4 linked regions of the Saccharomyces cerevisiae S288C genome follow. The gene in region 1 interacts genetically with each later gene. Each region holds a gene or a part of one and is shown in the gene's direction. Other genes may lie near its edges.

Region 1 (4,507 bases):
TTGGGTTGATACTGTGGATTTGCTTTTTGATTTCAAAACCTTTTTCTTTTCAGCAGTAGCATCTTCTTCAGAATCGGACTCTGAACCACCTTCCTTTTCTGCTTCTATAAGCTTCTTTTGATTTTCCAAAGCTTTTGCTCTAATCTTTTCTGCTAAAGAAGTTAATTCATCGTTAGCCTTCTTTTCCTTTCTCTTAACAATTTTGGACATTTTTATAGCTGATTCAGTGAAGTACTTAACAGAATCTTGGTATATATTGCTTCTAAGATATGTCACAATTCTGTGTATACCATGTACAATTGCTAAATGCTCATTGATTAATTTTAAATTTTTCATTTTTATCGCCTTAGACGAAATTGAAATTTTTCACTGAAAAAAAAAAAAAAAAAAAAGTAGACGAAGAAGCTCATCTCATCGCGATATTAGTTCGATATCTGGGTTTGAGTGAGTAGTATGTTTAATAATAAAAGAGTATAATCCAGATATAGCAGACAATAAAATTTCAAGATGGCCAAGAGAAGACAAAAGAAAAGAACACATGCACAGCTTACACCTGAGCAGGAACAAGGTATACCTAAGTCAATGGTAATCAGAGTGGGTCAAACTTCTTTGGCCAACCATTCTCTGAACCAATTAGTAAAGGACTTCCGCCAAATCATGCAACCACATACGGCTATAAAATTGAAAGAGCGCAAGTCCAATAAACTGAAGGATTTCGTTGTTATGTGTGGCCCATTAGGTGTTACGCATCTTTTTATGTTCACTCAATCTGAAAAAACAGGAAATGTCTCCCTAAAGATAGCTAGAACTCCGCAAGGTCCTACTGTTACTTTTCAAGTATTGGACTATTCTCTGGGTAGAGATATCAAAAAATTTTTGAAGAGACCTAAATCGTTGAATAATGATGATGTATTAAATCCTCCATTGCTAGTGCTAAACGGGTTTTCCACATCCAAAAGATCTGGTGAAGACGACCAGGATGTAAACGTGGAGAAGGTCATTGTTTCTATGTTTCAGAATATTTTCCCACCTCTGAATCCTGCGAGAACTTCTTTGAATTCTATCAAACGTGTATTTATGATCAATAAAGACAGGGAAACAGGGGAAATTTCTATGCGCCACTATTTTATTGACATTCGAGAAGTAGAGATCTCTAGAAACCTAAAAAGGCTTTATAAAGCCAAAAATAATCTAAGTAAAACAGTGCCGAATTTGCATCGAAAAGAAGATATTTCTTCTTTGATATTAGATCACGACTTAGGCGCCTATACATCAGAATCTGAAATTGAAGATGACGCTATCGTGAGAGTAGTTGATAATCAGGACGTGAAGGCAAAGCATTCTCAAAGTTTGAAGTCCCAAAGAACACCGGTCGAAAAGAAGGATAATAAAGAGCGTGAAAAAGAAACAGAAGAAGAAGATGTGGAAATGGAGGAACCTAAGCCTTCAGAAAACTTGCAACCAACCCCACGTAAGAAAGCTATCAAACTAACTGAATTAGGACCAAGATTAACTTTAAAACTGGTCAAGATAGAAGAAGGTATTTGTTCAGGTAAAGTGTTACATCATGAATTTGTTCAAAAATCAAGCGAAGAAATCAAAGCTTTAGAAAAGAGACACGCTGCAAAAATGAGGCTGAAGGAACAAAGAAAGAAGGAACAAGAAGAAAACATTGCTAAAAAGAAGGCTGTTAAAGACGCTAAAAAGCAACGTAAATTGGAAAGAAGAAAAGCTAGAGCAGCAGAAGGAGGTGAAGGTCAAGGAAAAGATGATGCGATGAGCGATGATGAGTCTTCATCAAGTGACAGCGAACATTATGGTAGCGTACCAGAGGATCTAGATAGTGACTTATTTAGTGAGGTCGAATAAATTGTTCTCCGGTACCAAGAAAATTTTAGTTAAGCCTGGCTATCCACCAACGCACGTATACTTCTTCACTTTAGATAAATTGCATACTTGATACATATAAACTCTTTGTCTTTTAAATCATAGCCCAAAGGAAACGTAGATCTCAGAAGGCATGTGAAAAAAAATTCGATCTTACCTTTTTTACGCCATTTTAAGCTACTGTTTCGATACATGAGCGTGGCTGGTACATTGAAGGTGGGCAATCGTCCACTTATCTAAAGACAGCTTATCAGCATGAAATCCAAAACGTGGATTTTCAGGGATGTCTTATCTAGTCACCGAACCAAAGCGTTTGATAGTTTACTTTGTAGGAGACTCCCTGTATCAAAGGCAACGAAGCATCTTCAACTGGGAGAACATTTCCTGTTCTTCCCACCATCATTCGAAAAATTGGATAGAGATGGTTATTTTAACTATCAAAATCCTGCAAGTTTGCTAGGAAACCCTGATTTACGCTACCGTAGAAGGATTTGGGGACAAGGAGAGCTTGTTCAGTATTTACCAGTCACCTTAGACCAGGAGTATACATGCCACGAATCAATCAAATACGTAAAAAAAATACGAGATGAACATGTTGTCTGTATTGAAAGAACCCTTTTACAAGAAAGGCCCGAAAATGTGTCGAGTCCAATGGACATTTGCTTATTCGAGAGAAGGGTATTAATGTACACCAATTCACCCGCAAACAAGACTGCAGTCAAGATGCCCGTAGGAGAGGAGAACTATAAGATCTTAAAAAATTTTACTGTTACTGATATGGATATTGTAGCTTATGGTCAGATGTCTTTGAATCCGCACCGAATTCATTGGGACAAAGAGTACAGTCGCTATGTTGAAGGCTACGACGATATTATCATGCAAGGACCCTTCTCGGTCCAATTACTACAGAAATGCATCCAACCTTTTCTCGAACAACCAATCAGACAGTTGCGATACCGCAATTTGAATTATATATATCCAAACACTACTTTGAGCATATGTCAGTCTTTAAGCTCTTCGAGCGGAATGTACACATTTCAAATTAGGGACCTCCAGAAAGCCAACTTAGTCTACATGAAAGCTGATGTTTTCTGTTGACTACCAGTAATTGTCTCTCTGCAGATAATCACTACCTGTGTGTTTCTTGTCTCTTGAAATAATACTAGTAGCTGCTGAACAGTGGAAGGTCACGAACGAGATTACCATAATATCTCGCCATCACCAGGTTGACGGTAAACGCATTACGGGAAGAACTGAAAAAAAGGTGGGAAAAAAAAATAAAAAGTAAAGTGAAAAATTAAATGTAATGTATATTTCCATTTTGACGCAAAGTACTTCCCTCTATCAGTTTTGTATCTAACTGCAGAGTAAAGTCGTGTTTTGCTTAGTTAACTTATATACAAGTCAAAGCAAAAAAGATGTCCGATATCAACGAAAAACTCCCAGAGTTACTACAAGACGCTGTCTTGAAAGCATCTGTTCCTATTCCAGATGACTTCGTTAAGGTTCAAGGTATTGATTACTCAAAGCCTGAAGCCACTAATATGAGAGCAACTGATTTAATTGAAGCTATGAAGACCATGGGTTTCCAAGCTAGTTCTGTTGGTACTGCCTGTGAGATTATTGATAGTATGAGATCATGGAGAGGTAAGCATATTGACGAATTGGATGACCATGAAAAGAAAGGTTGCTTCGATGAGGAAGGGTACCAAAAGACTACTATCTTCATGGGTTATACTTCTAACTTGATCAGTTCCGGTGTACGTGAAACTTTACGTTATTTGGTGCAACACAAAATGGTTGATGCTGTCGTTACTTCTGCTGGTGGTGTGGAAGAAGATTTGATCAAATGTCTTGCTCCAACTTACTTGGGTGAATTTGCTTTGAAAGGTAAATCTTTGCGTGACCAAGGTATGAATCGTATTGGTAACTTGCTTGTTCCAAATGATAACTACTGTAAGTTTGAAGAATGGATTGTCCCAATTTTGGATAAGATGTTGGAAGAACAAGATGAATACGTAAAGAAACATGGCGCTGACTGTTTAGAGGCTAACCAAGACGTGGATTCACCAATCTGGACCCCATCTAAGATGATAGATCGTTTTGGTAAGGAAATCAACGACGAATCCTCCGTATTGTACTGGGCCCACAAGAATAAAATTCCAATCTTTTGTCCATCTTTGACTGATGGTTCAATCGGTGACATGTTGTTTTTCCATACTTTTAAAGCATCTCCAAAACAACTAAGAGTTGACATTGTAGGAGATATCCGCAAAATCAATTCAATGTCCATGGCCGCTTACAGAGCCGGTATGATCATCTTGGGTGGTGGTTTGATCAAGCACCACATTGCCAATGCTTGTTTGATGAGAAATGGTGCTGATTATGCCGTTTACATTAACACTGGTCAAGAATACGATGGTTCTGATGCAGGTGCAAGACCTGACGAAGCTGTGTCTTGGGGTAAGATCAAGGCTGAAGCCAAATCCGTCAAACTTTTTGCTGATGTCACCACTGTTCTTCCATTGATTGTTGCTGCTACCTTTGCCAGTGGTAAACCAATCAAAAAAGTTAAGAATTGATGAGAGAATTTTGAGATGAAAAAAAAAAAAATGAATCT
Region 2 (4,785 bases), on another chromosome or scaffold:
TTTATAATATGGTGACTTGACATTAAAAGAGCCACCTCTGAAAGGCTTTCTAATAACAAATTTTTCGTCCACGCACCTCAATGCATCTGAACCATAGTATAATTTTGAGTCATCAAATATCCATTCTATAGGAGATGGATCATTTTTCTCTGAAATAATCTCAGGTTTGGAATTTTCATTGAAAGATACTACCTGTTCGTGAGCATTACCTGGTACCTTTCTTTTATAATACCTCATACGTTCTCTAAAATTCTTTTCCATCTCCGACTTTATGTTGTTAAACTCTTCTGACTGTTCTCTTTGAAGGCAAACGTTTTCAACATGTTCACTATTTTCAAGATCCAGCCATTTTTTAGGTACCGCTACACAATTTGGAACTACGACAGGATGGTCATCTTTGGGAAATCCTATCTTTATAGAATTTGATCCAGGATGTATCACGATAGTTGCTGTTGGATCATTTAGATCTATCTCGTCATTAAGTGGTGCTGCACTCGCTTCTGAGTGGGGCAAACTCTTTAAATCTATAACATCTGGTGTGTTGGTACTAGATATTTGGCTAGTGTTGTTATTTCTCAAAAATTTTCTATCTCTAAGTGCAAATATTTGATCGTCTTTTTTCAGATAATCTGATGAGTAGTTTTTTTGGTTGATTAACATTAAAGGTTGGAACAGGCCAGTGGCAGGTAAAGTAGTTGTCTCCACTTTCTCAATGCCAATTTTTTTCAACGTCTTGGCAAATTCTTCAGCAGCTTTAATACGTCCTAGTCTCCTCTTCTCCAAAAGATGTAGCGGGACTTTCTTCCCGGGAGGTGCTTTTGCGGGATCTAGCTTCGGATATTTCTTATAACGTTTACTAGTCTGCACAGCAGGTGGTGCCCTCTTATCTCTAGAGCTCCCTAATTCATTTTCATTTTCGTTGGCATTATCATTATCATTTTCGTCCTCATTGTCAACATCATTGTCGTCTTCGTCTTCATCTTCGTCTTCCCCTTCTTCATCTTCATCTTCTTCGTCTGCAACGTCTCTTGGGTCAACAGAAAGACCTGTTACACTTCTGGGTGTCTCAGATCCAACTACGTTATCGACACTATCGTCTGACTCATTCTCCGCATTTTCTTGATCCGCCTGGCTGCTTAAAGGTACGCTATTTTCTTCTTCCAGTTCATCCTCATCGTCATCATCCTCTAACGGAATATCAATGGGTTCCTCATAAATAATACTGGATTCTGCTTCTTCTTGCGACATGTTAGGTGCGATTGTATCCCTGTATTTATGTACTATTGACTAGTAATTTACCTGAAAGTGTTTGCTACTTCGTGGGCGTTCATCATCTCCATTTATTCATATTGCCATTCTCAAATAAGTCATCTTGCACGGCCCAACCAGCGGCTGGATAACGGATCTACCCCAACCTCGGACCCAAAGTTGCTGCTATAAAAACAGAAACAAAAAAGGCGTTTCTCGAGACTGATATCCAGATGGTAATAGAGCCCTTAAGTGCTTTGCAATTGTCAATTAAGTATCCTTGTTCGAGAGTTGTTCACAGCACACTGCGTATATATAGGCTTACCACAGTTGGATTTAATCAAGCGATATAAAAGCTGGAAGGAGACAAGTTTCCCCTAATTGTTGTTCTGTTTGTTACTTACCACTCTATATACGTTCGATTTCATAGAAAATTTCTTTTGCAGACCATTTATTCTTCAGTTTGATAATGTTAAGATCTACCGTTTCAAAAGCTTCTCTCAAAATTTGTCGTCACTTTCACAGAGAATCTATTCCTTACGATAAGACGATCAAAAATTTGCTGCTTCCCAAGGACACCAAGGTGATCTTTCAGGGGTTCACAGGTAAACAAGGTACTTTTCATGCCAGCATCTCTCAAGAATATGGTACAAATGTTGTGGGTGGTACGAACCCAAAAAAGGCGGGTCAAACACATTTAGGCCAACCTGTCTTTGCCTCTGTGAAGGACGCGATTAAGGAGACTGGAGCCACTGCCAGTGCCATCTTTGTTCCTCCACCGATCGCAGCTGCTGCCATTAAAGAATCTATTGAAGCTGAAATTCCGTTAGCTGTATGTATCACTGAAGGTATTCCTCAACATGACATGTTATACATTGCAGAAATGTTGCAGACACAAGATAAAACAAGATTAGTTGGGCCCAACTGCCCTGGTATCATTAACCCAGCAACAAAGGTAAGAATTGGTATCCAGCCCCCAAAAATTTTTCAAGCTGGTAAAATCGGTATTATTTCCAGATCGGGAACTTTGACATACGAAGCTGTTCAGCAAACTACAAAAACTGACCTTGGTCAATCACTGGTTATTGGTATGGGTGGTGATGCTTTTCCCGGTACTGATTTTATTGACGCCTTGAAATTATTTCTAGAAGATGAAACTACAGAAGGTATTATTATGTTAGGTGAAATAGGTGGTAAGGCCGAAATCGAAGCTGCTCAATTTCTCAAAGAATACAACTTTAGCAGGAGTAAGCCGATGCCGGTGGCATCTTTCATCGCAGGAACTGTTGCTGGTCAAATGAAAGGTGTTAGAATGGGTCACTCCGGTGCAATTGTAGAAGGATCTGGAACTGATGCAGAATCCAAAAAACAAGCTTTGAGAGATGTTGGTGTTGCCGTCGTTGAATCTCCAGGTTACTTAGGTCAAGCTTTACTGGATCAATTTGCCAAATTTAAATGATTATATTAGGAAGAGAATGAACTGCTTTCAAAAGAGGAAGACTTCTATGTCTCGATTATTGCTTAGACAAGTATGGAGCTGACATCCGTTTTCTTTTCAGAGCTTTTACTCAACATTCTATGTTAATTTTTCCCTTTGTATATATTCATTTATCCTTATAAATTCTACTAAAAATCTTTTAATAGTGTTTGTATTTAATGTTCTTCTTAACAAGGGTATACATAAAGGTTGATTAAAGCTTAATAATTGAAATGGAAAAAAAAATAACAAAACGTCTGAATTTCCTAGTCTGTTTTGCAAAAACAGATGCGCAAGCCGGGAATCGAACCCGGGCCTCATGCTTGGGAAGCATAAATTCTAACCACTGAACCACTTGCGCGTTTCAATCAATTTGGGAAGACTCAGCACGTTATATACTATTAATGAAAAATTTCCTTCTTAGTAATGACACTGATAAATAGGTAAGTGTTGGAATTAAAATCAACTATCGTCTAACAACTAGTAGTCACACTACCAATATATTATCATACACGGTGTTAGACGATGACATAAGATATGAGAAACTGTCATCGAAGTTAGACGAAGCTGAAATGCAAGGATTGATAACGTAATAGGATAATAAAACATATAGAACAGAAGGAGAAATAATCATAGTATTATTATGTAGAAATATAGATTCCTTTTTGAGGACTCCTATATCCTCGAGGAGAACTACACATAATATTATATATAACCTTTGCCAAAAAAAGGAATGCCAAAAATTATCAAACTATTTGTTGGAATAAAAATCCACTATCGTCTATCAACTAATAGTTATATTATCAATATATTATCATATACGGTGTTAAGATGATGACATAAGTTATGAGAAGCTGTCATCGAAGTTAGAGGAAGCTGAAGTGCAAGGATTGATAATGTAATAGGATAATGAAACATATAAAACGGAATGAGGAATAATCGTAATATTAGTATGTAGAAATATAGATTCCATTTTGAGGATTCCTATATCCTCGAGGAGAACTTCTAGTATATTCTGTATACCTAATATTATAGCCTTTATCAACAATGGAATCCCAACAATTATCTAATTACCCACATATATCTCATGGTAGCGCCTGTGCTTCGGTTACTTCTAAGGAAGTCCACACAAATCAAGATCCGTTAGACGTTTCAGCTTCCAAAATTCAAGAATATGATAAGGCTTCCACTAAGGCTAACTCTCAACAGACAACAACACCTGCTTCATCAGCTGTTCCAGAGAACCCCCATCATGCCTCTCCTCAACCTGCTTCAGTACCACCTCCACAGAATGGGCCGTACCCACAGCAGTGCATGATGACCCAAAACCAAGCCAATCCATCTGGTTGGTCATTTTACGGACACCCATCTATGATTCCGTATACACCTTATCAAATGTCGCCTATGTACTTTCCACCTGGGCCACAATCACAGTTTCCGCAGTATCCATCATCAGTTGGAACGCCTCTGAGCACTCCATCACCTGAGTCAGGTAATACATTTACTGATTCATCCTCAGCGGACTCTGATATGACATCCACTAAAAAATATGTCAGACCACCACCAATGTTAACCTCACCTAATGACTTTCCAAATTGGGTTAAAACATACATCAAATTTTTACAAAACTCGAATCTCGGTGGTATTATTCCGACAGTAAACGGAAAACCCGTACGTCCGATCACTGATGATGAACTCACCTTCTTGTATAACACTTTTCAAATATTTGCTCCCTCTCAATTCCTACCTACCTGGGTCAAAGACATCCTATCCGTTGATTATACGGATATCATGAAAATTCTTTCCAAAAGTATTGAAAAAATGCAATCTGATACCCAAGAGGCAAACGACATTGTGACCCTGGCAAATTTGCAATATAATGGCAGTACACCTGCAGATGCATTTGAAACAAAAGTCACAAACATTATCGACAGACTGAACAATAATGGCATTCATATCAATAACAAGGTCGCATGTCAATTAATTATGAGAGGTCTATCTGGCGAATATAAATTTTTACGCTACACACGTCATCGACATCTAAATATGACAGTCGCTGA
Region 3 (5,218 bases), on another chromosome or scaffold:
ACTACCCCTATCTCACACTAGTACGTAATTCAATGTATCATTCGTATTGTAAGTAGATAGAGACGCAATACAGGAAAGCTGACCTTCCTTCCAATCACCACGGCTGAAATGCTTTGTTGACCAATTACGGACGCTTAAGAGCGGACGCGGCTGGAACGGCTCCATCCTAAATCGGCGGAGGGAGAACTCCGATACCAGCCGACATGGCAATAATAGTGACAGTAGATGCTACCAGCCCCGCAATAATTTCACAGTAGATCATCAACAGTCTCCTCATTTCTGGAAATGATCAGCAACTTCGACGGATTTAACTCTCAAGCAGTTACGCACTCCGAGAACAGCCGTGATCATCTTTGAACAAGCAAAATATATAAAGCAGGAGAACTGTCCTACCTAGAGCTAGAATAGCCATAACTAACTATGTAACATTCTACAGATCAATCAAAAACAATCTTCAATCACAGAAAAAAATAAAAGGCATGTCTGACAGAGAACAAAGCAGCGGCAACACCGCTTTTGAGAACCCTAAGGCACTCGATTCTTCCGAGGGTGAGTTCATCTCTGAAAACAACGATCAGAGCCGCCACTCGCAAGAGTCCATATGCAAAATATATACTGCGGGCAAAAACAACGAGTATATTTACATCGGCCGTCAAAAATTTTTAAGGGATGATTTGTTCGAGGCATTCGGTGGTACTCTGAATCCCGGTTTAGCCCCCGCGCCAGTCCATAAATTCGCAAATCCTGCTCCACTAGGACTTTCCGGTTTTGCCCTCACTACGTTTGTCCTATCCATGTTCAATGCAAGAGCCCAAGGCATCACTATCCCTAATGTTGTTGTTGGGTGTGCCATGTTTTACGGTGGCCTCGTTCAACTCATTGCTGGTATTTGGGAAATCGCTTTAGAGAACACTTTCGGTGGTACAGCCCTGTGTTCCTTCGGCGGTTTTTGGTTAAGCTTCGGTGCTATATACATCCCTTGGTTTGGAATTCTAGATGCCTATAAGGACAAGGAATCCGACCTTGGAAATGCGCTAGGGTTTTACCTCCTAGGATGGGCACTCTTCACCTTCGGTCTTTCCGTCTGCACCATGAAATCAACTATAATGTTTTTTGCCTTATTCTTCCTCTTAGCAGTGACCTTCTTACTTCTATCCATTGCAAACTTCACAGGCGAAGTTGGCGTCACTAGAGCTGGTGGGGTCCTTGGTGTGATAGTAGCCTTCATTGCCTGGTACAACGCTTACGCAGGTATTGCCACAAGACAAAACTCGTACATTATGGTCCATCCATTCGCATTACCTAGCAATGATAAGGTGTTCTTCTAAAAACACAAAAGTGCAGGCTAAAATAACTTTTACCCCTATTATATATTCTTATGATCCATTATTTATGAAAAGCCCAGCAAATGTCGAACAAATCGGCCTTTGTTTTATTTCACATAGAATCCTTTATAAAACAACACTGTTCTCATGCATTTCCGAACTATTGTTCTTGTTGTATAGGAGCACGGTTTACCCCTTTTGCTATTGACACATGTAATATCGCATAAAAAAGAAACCGCACTTCATAGTGCATAAGCAGTACAGAAATGATATCACATGTAAGTGATAGCGATTTGACTGTTTGCTACCGACAAGACTATCTGAAATAAGAAAAAAAACGACCCCAGTGAGGGTTGAACTCACGATCTTGCGATTAACAGTCGCACGCCTTAACCAACTTGGCCATGGAGTCACTTTAAATTCTGCAGAACGTGAAAGGTTCGATTTCCATGATCTACACGATTTTAATCATCTGTAAGCCTTGCCATGAAGCTAAATTGGTGAATTTTTAAGAATTGTTTTGTTGGAACGAGAGTAATTAATAGTGACATGAGTTGCTATGGTAACAATCTAATGCTTACATCGTATATTAATGTACACCTCGTATACGTTTAAGTGTGATTGCGCCTATTGCAGAAGGAATGTTAAACGAGAAGCTCAGACAATACTGAAGCTGTGTTAAAGACCTATTAGTTGAACATGTTATGGTAGGTACATATATGAGGAATATGAGTCGTCACATCAATGTTTAGTAACTACCGGAATCACTATTATATTGGTCATGATTAATATGACCAATCAGCGTGTGTTTTATATACATCTCTTATTTAGTATAAGAAGATCAGTACTTATTTCTTCATTAATACTAATTTTTAACCTCTAATTATCAACAGAGGAATATGAGGATTCCTAGATCCTCGAGGAGAACTTCTAGTATATTCTGTATACCTAATATTATAGCCTTTTTCAACAATGGAATCCCAACAATTATCTCAAAAATCACCTAAGCCTCACATGCATGTTTTACGTTGTGGTTGATGATCTATTGATGTTGAGGTACCATATTTTGAAATTCATTAAAACAACTTCTACCGGGCGTGTGGTCTAGAGGTATGATTCTCGCTTAGGGTGCGGGAGGTCCCGGGTTCGAGTCCCGGCTCGCCCCCATTGATTTATTTTTATCAAATTTTTTAATATTGCATATCTTTAGTGGGCAAAAAATTTTTCCCTGGGCAAAAATATAAGAGAGCTCATCTTATTGTTGTCAGCCCAATGATTCCCTTGTCAAATTGAATTTTCGGATTTACTTGTTCAGGTACCCGCGTTAAGGGGCTGCCGCGCCTGTCACTCTAAGAAAAAAGGAGCCATCAAAAACCATTCAGCATTAACTAAAAACGCGGGTAGAGATTACTACATATTCCAACAAGACCTTCGCAGGAAAGTATACCTAAACTAATTAAAGAAATCTCCGAAGTTCGCATTTCATTGAACGGCTCAATTAATCTTTGTAAATATGAGCGTTTTTACGTTCACATTGCCTTTTTTTTTATGTATTTACCTTGCATTTTTGTGCTAAAAGGCGTCACGTTTTTTTCCGCCGCAGCCGCCCGGAAATGAAAAGTATGACCCCCGCTAGACCAAAAATACTTTTGTGTTATTGGAGGATCGCAATCCCTTTGGAGCTTTTCCGATACTATCGACTTATCCGACCTCTTGTTGTTTGAAAATGTCAATTGATATCCATCCATTATATAAATGCTCAAAACTTGCAGCAACTATTCTTTACCCTTCCCCTGTTATGGATTGCTAGTCTTAAGGGGGAAATTTGCTGTTTACTAAAATACAAACCAGGTTTGTTTTGGCTTTTATTTGCATTTAAGTAATTACAATTACAACCATTAAAAAGAAAATAAGGCAAAACATATAGCAATATAATACTATTTACGAAGATGTCAGCGATATTATCAACAACTAGCAAAAGTTTCTTATCAAGGGGCTCCACAAGACAATGTCAAAATATGCAAAAGGCTCTTTTTGCACTATTGAATGCTCGCCACTATAGTAGCGCCTCCGAACAAACGTTGAAGGAGAGATTTGCTGAAATTATCCCAGCAAAGGCAGAAGAAATTAAAAAATTCAAGAAAGAACACGGTAAAACCGTTATTGGTGAAGTTCTTTTGGAGCAAGCTTATGGTGGTATGAGAGGTATTAAAGGCCTTGTTTGGGAAGGTTCCGTGTTAGACCCCGAAGAAGGTATTAGATTTAGGGGTCGTACTATTCCAGAAATTCAAAGGGAACTACCAAAGGCTGAGGGTAGTACAGAACCTTTGCCAGAAGCTTTATTTTGGTTGCTTTTGACTGGTGAAATACCTACTGACGCTCAAGTTAAAGCCCTTTCTGCTGATTTAGCTGCCAGATCAGAAATTCCAGAGCACGTTATCCAACTTTTAGATAGCCTCCCAAAAGATCTACATCCAATGGCGCAATTTTCTATTGCCGTGACTGCTTTAGAAAGCGAGTCTAAGTTTGCCAAAGCATATGCTCAAGGTGTATCCAAGAAAGAATATTGGAGCTATACATTTGAAGATTCGTTAGATCTGCTGGGTAAATTACCTGTTATTGCTTCCAAAATTTATCGTAATGTGTTCAAGGATGGTAAAATTACTTCAACCGATCCTAATGCTGACTATGGTAAAAATTTGGCCCAACTTTTGGGCTACGAAAACAAGGATTTTATTGACTTAATGAGACTATATTTAACTATTCATTCTGATCATGAAGGTGGTAACGTTTCTGCCCATACTACACATTTAGTGGGTTCTGCCTTATCTTCGCCATACTTATCTTTGGCCGCTGGTTTGAATGGTTTAGCTGGCCCATTACATGGTCGTGCCAATCAAGAAGTTTTAGAATGGCTATTTAAATTGAGAGAAGAAGTGAAAGGTGACTATTCAAAAGAAACAATTGAAAAGTACTTGTGGGATACTTTGAACGCAGGGAGAGTTGTTCCTGGTTATGGCCATGCGGTTTTGAGAAAAACTGATCCTCGTTATACGGCTCAACGTGAATTCGCATTGAAACATTTCCCAGATTACGAGTTATTTAAGTTGGTCTCCACCATTTATGAAGTTGCCCCAGGGGTTTTAACTAAGCATGGTAAAACTAAGAACCCATGGCCAAATGTTGATTCACATTCCGGTGTTTTATTGCAATACTATGGTCTAACTGAGGCTTCGTTCTACACTGTATTGTTTGGTGTTGCCAGAGCTATTGGTGTGTTACCCCAATTAATCATCGATAGGGCTGTTGGTGCTCCAATCGAAAGGCCAAAATCATTCTCCACCGAAAAATACAAGGAGTTGGTAAAGAAAATCGAAAGTAAGAACTAAGGAAAATTTGATTTTTGATTCAGGGTATGCGACTATTCAAACACGTATTTTCATATACGAATGAGTAGTTTATAATTTATATAAATATATATTACATAAGGAAATGGCTATGACTTCATGATTTTTACGCTTTGAGTCCCCTATGCCTACCGGTTATGTTATATACTTGGCAAATGATATCAATGAATAGAAAACAAAATGCTCTTAAATTCCTGCAAAGCGCTTTCAAATCGAATTGTGGTGGGCTGGCGCGCTGATTTAGCAGTAAAATCTAGCCTGTAGTCGATATACTACGTCAAGGTGTAACTAACGTTTATATGTATATGAACCTGCAGAAGAAGCAAAATGACAAGGTTAATGCATCTTTATCTGTCCTAGAGTAGAAGATACACTAAAAAGTTGATAAAGCGAATATAATATGGTCATGTGAAAAAAGCAATCTCATAAAATTTTCTCTTTTTCCTTTTTTTCTTCTGTTCTTACCTCAAGATAAATGTCACTTTT
Region 4 (5,229 bases), on another chromosome or scaffold:
AATTAGCGTTTTCTTCGTTGAGTCCTTCAATGTTCAACGTCGTTACCGAGGCAATATATTTATACAAAGAAGAGTGCTTTTCAAGTTTTTCTAGGACCAGTTTTATAAGAAGGTTGGAAGTTGATTCGGTCGATAAATTGATTTCATTGTCATCTTTTAAACTATCATAACTTTCTTGAATTAACGTAACTAGTTTTCTTTCGGGCAGAGGAGAGTTATCACTCCTTCCATCCTTTATTTCAATCTGCATACTCATTTTTTTGTTGACTTTCGTAATCACTTACTTTCACTTATCCTAAATAATTTACAGTGCGTTTTGTAAAACTGCAAGACGGTATCCGCTAATAGAGAGAAGAATACGTATTTTCTAGTAAAGAAATTTACAAAAAAGGAGGTATATTGGCATCGCTATTTTCGGATAGAATGGCAAGAGCGATTAAGTATAGCAAACTGGGAAATGTATAGAGACAAGAAATAATGAGACTCTCTCTTCAAGTATCTTTGAGCACGTATCAGATAACTAATGGTTATATCGCTTGTTACGGTCGGTGATACTTCACTTTGAAATAGATATTAGCACGTGTCTCGGAGAGAAGAAAATGAATGCTGCATTATACAAAATAGATAACAGTATTTAAGAGTCCATATTTCCATAACCAGCGACTTGCATACACGTAACATACGATTTACTACATTATCGAATACGATTAAACACTACGCCAGATTTCCACAATATGTCTTCAGCACCATTATTACAAAGAACACCTGGGAAAAAGATCGCTTTGCCCACACGAGTTGAGCCAAAAGTGTTCTTTGCCAATGAGCGTACCTTTTTGTCGTGGTTGAACTTTACAGTTATGCTGGGAGGCCTTGGTGTAGGTTTACTGAATTTTGGTGACAAGATAGGTAGGGTCAGTGCAGGACTATTTACTTTTGTTGCCATGGGTACAATGATATACGCGCTTGTAACATACCACTGGAGAGCTGCTGCGATTAGACGTAGAGGATCAGGTCCTTATGATGACAGATTGGGGCCCACTTTGTTGTGCTTTTTCTTATTGGTTGCTGTCATTATCAACTTTATATTAAGATTGAAGTACAATGACGCTAACACTAAGTTATGAAATTGTAATTCCAATATCGTAAGCGTGGGTTACGCACAAACTGTATTTTCAAGATGCTCACAAATAATTTAGTTTCATATATACGCATATATAGAAAGTATCCATCTATAGGTAATCATGAACAATAAAAATATTCACGTTTCAGGAGCTATTGTTTGTACTCATTACGTTTTTGGATATCAAGTTGAAAATCAGCCCCTTTCACTAGATATCAAGCGCTATAAAAAAATTTTAATTTCGATGAGGCATCTTTCTTTTCTCTTGTGGCTATGTAAGCCTAAGAAGCCGTTTACACATCAATGATAAATAAGTATACAAAAAGGGTTCCATTTTTTTTTTTGGCCGCTACCGGACTAGCAAGGGCCTAATGGTACGCTGAGCGTAGTACAACCAAGCGCTTGTTAGCCGTAGAGTTAAGCTCTTGACTACTATTACGGTAAAAGCCGGGAACGTGCGTAACAATTTTTTTTTGCATTAGGTTAAAGAGGCTCGCTCGCGGAGCCTTTAGAATACCGCTTAAGGCGCCAAAAGATGGAAGCTATTCTCTTTCTTTTTTTTTTCACAAACTGAGAGGGGTTGTGTATCGTTAAAAATGTTGGAAGACTTCTGACTCATCACTACGCAGATTGTTAGAGTTTTTCGATGAGAATGGCTTCAAAGAACAGAACAAAACACGATTATATAAGCCCCATGTAAAAAGAACGTCTTAATTTATTTTGAATTTAGGACTTCTTGACATTTTTAGCATATATAACAATACGATAAGTGTCTCATCAAACGTGGTTAAGACAGAAAACTTCTTCACAACATTAACAAAAAGCCAAAGAAGAAGAAATGCTTTCTCGCACAAGAGCTGCAGCTCCGAATTCCAGAATATTCACTAGAAGCTTGTTACGTCTTTATTCTCAAGCACCATTACGCGTTCCAATTACTCTTCCAAATGGTTTCACCTACGAACAGCCAACAGGGTTATTCATCAATGGTGAATTTGTTGCCTCGAAGCAAAAGAAAACGTTTGACGTGATCAATCCATCTAACGAAGAAAAGATAACAACTGTATACAAGGCTATGGAAGATGATGTTGATGAAGCCGTTGCAGCGGCTAAAAAAGCTTTTGAAACGAAGTGGTCTATTGTAGAGCCGGAGGTTCGCGCTAAAGCTTTATTCAATCTCGCTGACTTGGTTGAGAAACACCAAGAAACACTGGCTGCCATTGAGTCAATGGATAATGGTAAGTCATTGTTTTGTGCGCGCGGTGACGTCGCTTTAGTATCTAAATACTTGCGTTCTTGCGGTGGTTGGGCAGATAAAATCTACGGTAACGTTATTGACACAGGTAAAAACCATTTTACCTACTCAATTAAGGAACCATTAGGCGTTTGCGGCCAAATAATCCCTTGGAACTTCCCTTTATTGATGTGGTCATGGAAAATTGGGCCTGCTCTGGCTACAGGTAACACCGTCGTATTGAAACCCGCTGAAACAACACCTTTATCTGCCCTTTTCGCTTCCCAGTTGTGTCAGGAAGCAGGCATACCCGCTGGTGTAGTCAATATCCTTCCGGGTTCCGGTAGAGTTGTTGGAGAAAGATTGAGTGCACACCCAGACGTGAAGAAGATTGCTTTTACAGGCTCTACTGCCACCGGCCGCCATATTATGAAGGTCGCTGCCGATACTGTCAAGAAAGTCACTTTGGAGCTGGGAGGTAAATCACCAAATATTGTGTTTGCTGACGCTGATCTAGATAAAGCCGTCAAGAACATTGCCTTCGGTATTTTTTACAACTCTGGTGAAGTTTGCTGCGCTGGTTCCAGAATATACATTCAAGATACAGTATACGAGGAGGTGTTGCAAAAACTAAAGGATTACACCGAGTCACTAAAGGTCGGTGACCCATTTGATGAGGAAGTTTTCCAAGGTGCTCAAACATCTGACAAACAGCTGCATAAAATTTTAGACTATGTCGATGTAGCAAAATCAGAGGGGGCTCGTCTTGTGACTGGAGGGGCCAGACATGGCAGTAAAGGTTATTTTGTCAAGCCAACAGTGTTTGCTGATGTCAAAGAAGATATGAGAATTGTTAAGGAGGAAGTGTTTGGTCCCATTGTAACTGTATCCAAGTTTTCTACTGTTGATGAAGTGATTGCTATGGCAAATGATTCTCAATATGGGTTAGCCGCAGGTATTCACACTAACGATATTAACAAGGCTGTTGATGTGTCCAAAAGAGTGAAAGCTGGTACTGTTTGGATAAATACCTATAACAACTTCCACCAAAATGTTCCTTTCGGTGGCTTCGGCCAGTCAGGTATTGGCCGTGAAATGGGTGAGGCTGCTTTAAGTAACTACACTCAAACAAAATCTGTCAGAATTGCCATTGACAAGCCAATTCGTTGAAGTAACTCAGGCCCGAGTTGACTGCTCATTGAAGGTATGTATGATAAACATTATAGAATAATGAAAAATGCCTCGTGACATACAGATAAAATCTAACAAGGATATATTCAAAAAAAAAAAAACAAAACAAAAAAATAATAACGTGATAAACATTAATGAACAATGTATTTACATTCTTAAGCATAGGTGAGAAATTACCTTCTTTACTTTTTTTTTTTTTTTTGGTGATATTGTATATTGAAATATATAGTAATCAAATTCGTTTCATTGATCAAATTGCTCACTAGTTCTGTTTTTCAAAATTTCATCTTTATAGGTAGATACAAGTGCCAGAGAGATATATAAACAGAAAACTCTATCGATGTGATAATGTATGCCAATATCGGGACTGTACACCCACACATTTACAAGCCCACACATCCTACAACTTTCTTTTCATTTCTTGCGCTTCTTCCACTGTCATAAAATATGATTGTCCGATGCCGCAGCCTACGCCTCGGCGAGTATTCATCACCTAAGCGTCCTGTAGGCGGGGCCACGCAGTCACTAACGGAATACTCCAGAAGGCTGCTTCCTTTGGAAGGAAGTTTCACTCGGTTGTCCACCCAGCGCTTTAACTTTGTCTCAGCGAAGAAGAATTGAATAACTATAGTGAATTTCAAGAGCTAGAGGATGGTTAGGTATTAGTTCAAAACAAAGATTTCAAGAAACCAACATAGATTAAGCAGAAATGGTATGTTAAAAAGTGCTCAGATGAAAGATGACGTCCCATATTCCATGTTAAAGTTGCCATGAGTTAGTATAAAAGGCAATAAAGGTACCATAACGAGAAAAGAAAGTAAAAGAAGAAATGTTTTGCAAATTTAAGGTGGCGTAACAGCAACTATTGGCTAATATATTAATGGCAATCATTGTGAAAAGAAATGTGAAATCCGTATCGTAATTGGTTAAATTTATAACTCAAATTTAAACACTCGAATAGCTGACCCGTAATATTTTATCCCGCTTTAAGAGTTCAACGCTAAAAAATGATATCTAGCTAACCATTATGCTACAGGAACCTTTTTTGGACTATTATCCCTATCATGAAAACTGGAAGGATCTTTCAAGGACGCCATTTCCAAAGATTTCCCCCACACTGGAACCTATTTTACTAACAATTTTTAAAATGGTTTTTTACCTAAATTGTTTTTTCTCAGTCTGACGCTGTTACTATCCGTACTAGAAAGGTTATCTCCAACCCATTGTTGGCCAGAAAGCAATTCGTCGTCGACGTCTTGCACCCAAACAGAGCTAATGTCTCCAAGGATGAATTGCGTGAAAAATTAGCTGAAGTCTACAAGGCTGAAAAGGACGCTGTCTCCGTTTTCGGTTTCAGAACCCAATTTGGTGGTGGTAAGTCTGTTGGTTTCGGTTTGGTCTACAACTCTGTTGCCGAAGCTAAGAAGTTCGAACCAACTTACAGATTAGTCAGATACGGTTTGGCTGAAAAGGTTGAAAAGGCTTCCAGACAACAAAGAAAGCAAAAGAAGAACAGAGACAAGAAGATCTTCGGTACTGGTAAGAGATTGGCTAAGAAGGTTGCTCGTCGTAACGCCGATTAAGCAAACTAACTTCAAAACGTTAAATCATTTTTACGGATTGTTTAGTTTTCTATATATAAATATGTGTATCTTTTTCCAATAAAAAATATAATCAATAATTTTAA

The links.
Region 2: mutations in HTD2 (region 1) and LSC1 together harm fitness more than expected from each alone (negative genetic interaction), as found in Saccharomyces cerevisiae (4 studies listed by BioGRID).
Region 3: mutations in HTD2 (region 1) and CIT1 together harm fitness less than expected from each alone (positive genetic interaction), as found in Saccharomyces cerevisiae (4 studies listed by BioGRID).
Region 4: mutations in HTD2 (region 1) and ALD5 together harm fitness more than expected from each alone (negative genetic interaction), as found in Saccharomyces cerevisiae (3 studies listed by BioGRID).

What each region holds. Positions count from the first base shown.
Region 1 is NC_001140.6:228,828-233,334, forward strand, and holds HTD2 (hydroxyacyl-thioester dehydratase HTD2), read left to right. Parts: upstream 1-2,142; coding exon 2,143-2,985; downstream 2,986-4,507. Other genes in the region: RNA-dependent ATPase RRP3, read right to left, coding at 1-210; SSF1 (rRNA-binding ribosome biosynthesis protein), read left to right, coding at 508-1,869; DYS1 (deoxyhypusine synthase), read left to right, coding at 3,306-4,469. UniProt on the Saccharomyces cerevisiae protein: Mitochondrial 3-hydroxyacyl-thioester dehydratase involved in fatty acid biosynthesis. Required for respiratory growth and for normal mitochondrial morphology.
Region 2 is NC_001147.6:591,340-596,124, forward strand, and holds LSC1 (succinate--CoA ligase (GDP-forming) subunit alpha), read left to right. Parts: upstream 1-1,717; coding exon 1,718-2,707; downstream 2,708-4,785. Other genes in the region: ARP8 (Arp8p), read right to left, coding at 1-1,248; YOR142W-A (gag protein), read left to right, coding at 3,773-4,785. UniProt on the Saccharomyces cerevisiae protein: Succinyl-CoA synthetase functions in the citric acid cycle (TCA), coupling the hydrolysis of succinyl-CoA to the synthesis of ATP and thus represents the only step of substrate-level phosphorylation in the TCA.
Region 3 is NC_001146.8:629,118-634,335, reverse strand, and holds CIT1 (citrate (Si)-synthase CIT1), read left to right. Parts: upstream 1-3,274; coding exon 3,275-4,714; downstream 4,715-5,218. Other genes in the region: putative ammonium permease ATO2, read left to right, coding at 480-1,328. UniProt on the Saccharomyces cerevisiae protein: Specific citrate synthase with catalytic activity only with acetyl-CoA.
Region 4 is NC_001137.3:302,072-307,300, forward strand, and holds ALD5 (aldehyde dehydrogenase (NAD(P)(+)) ALD5), read left to right. Parts: upstream 1-1,958; coding exon 1,959-3,521; downstream 3,522-5,229. Other genes in the region: TDA2 (Tda2p), read right to left, coding at 1-256; VTC1 (Vtc1p), read left to right, coding at 735-1,124; 40S ribosomal protein eS24 RPS24A, read left to right, coding at 4,252-4,254, 4,721-5,125. UniProt on the Saccharomyces cerevisiae protein: Minor mitochondrial aldehyde dehydrogenase isoform. Plays a role in regulation or biosynthesis of electron transport chain components. Involved in the biosynthesis of acetate during anaerobic growth on glucose.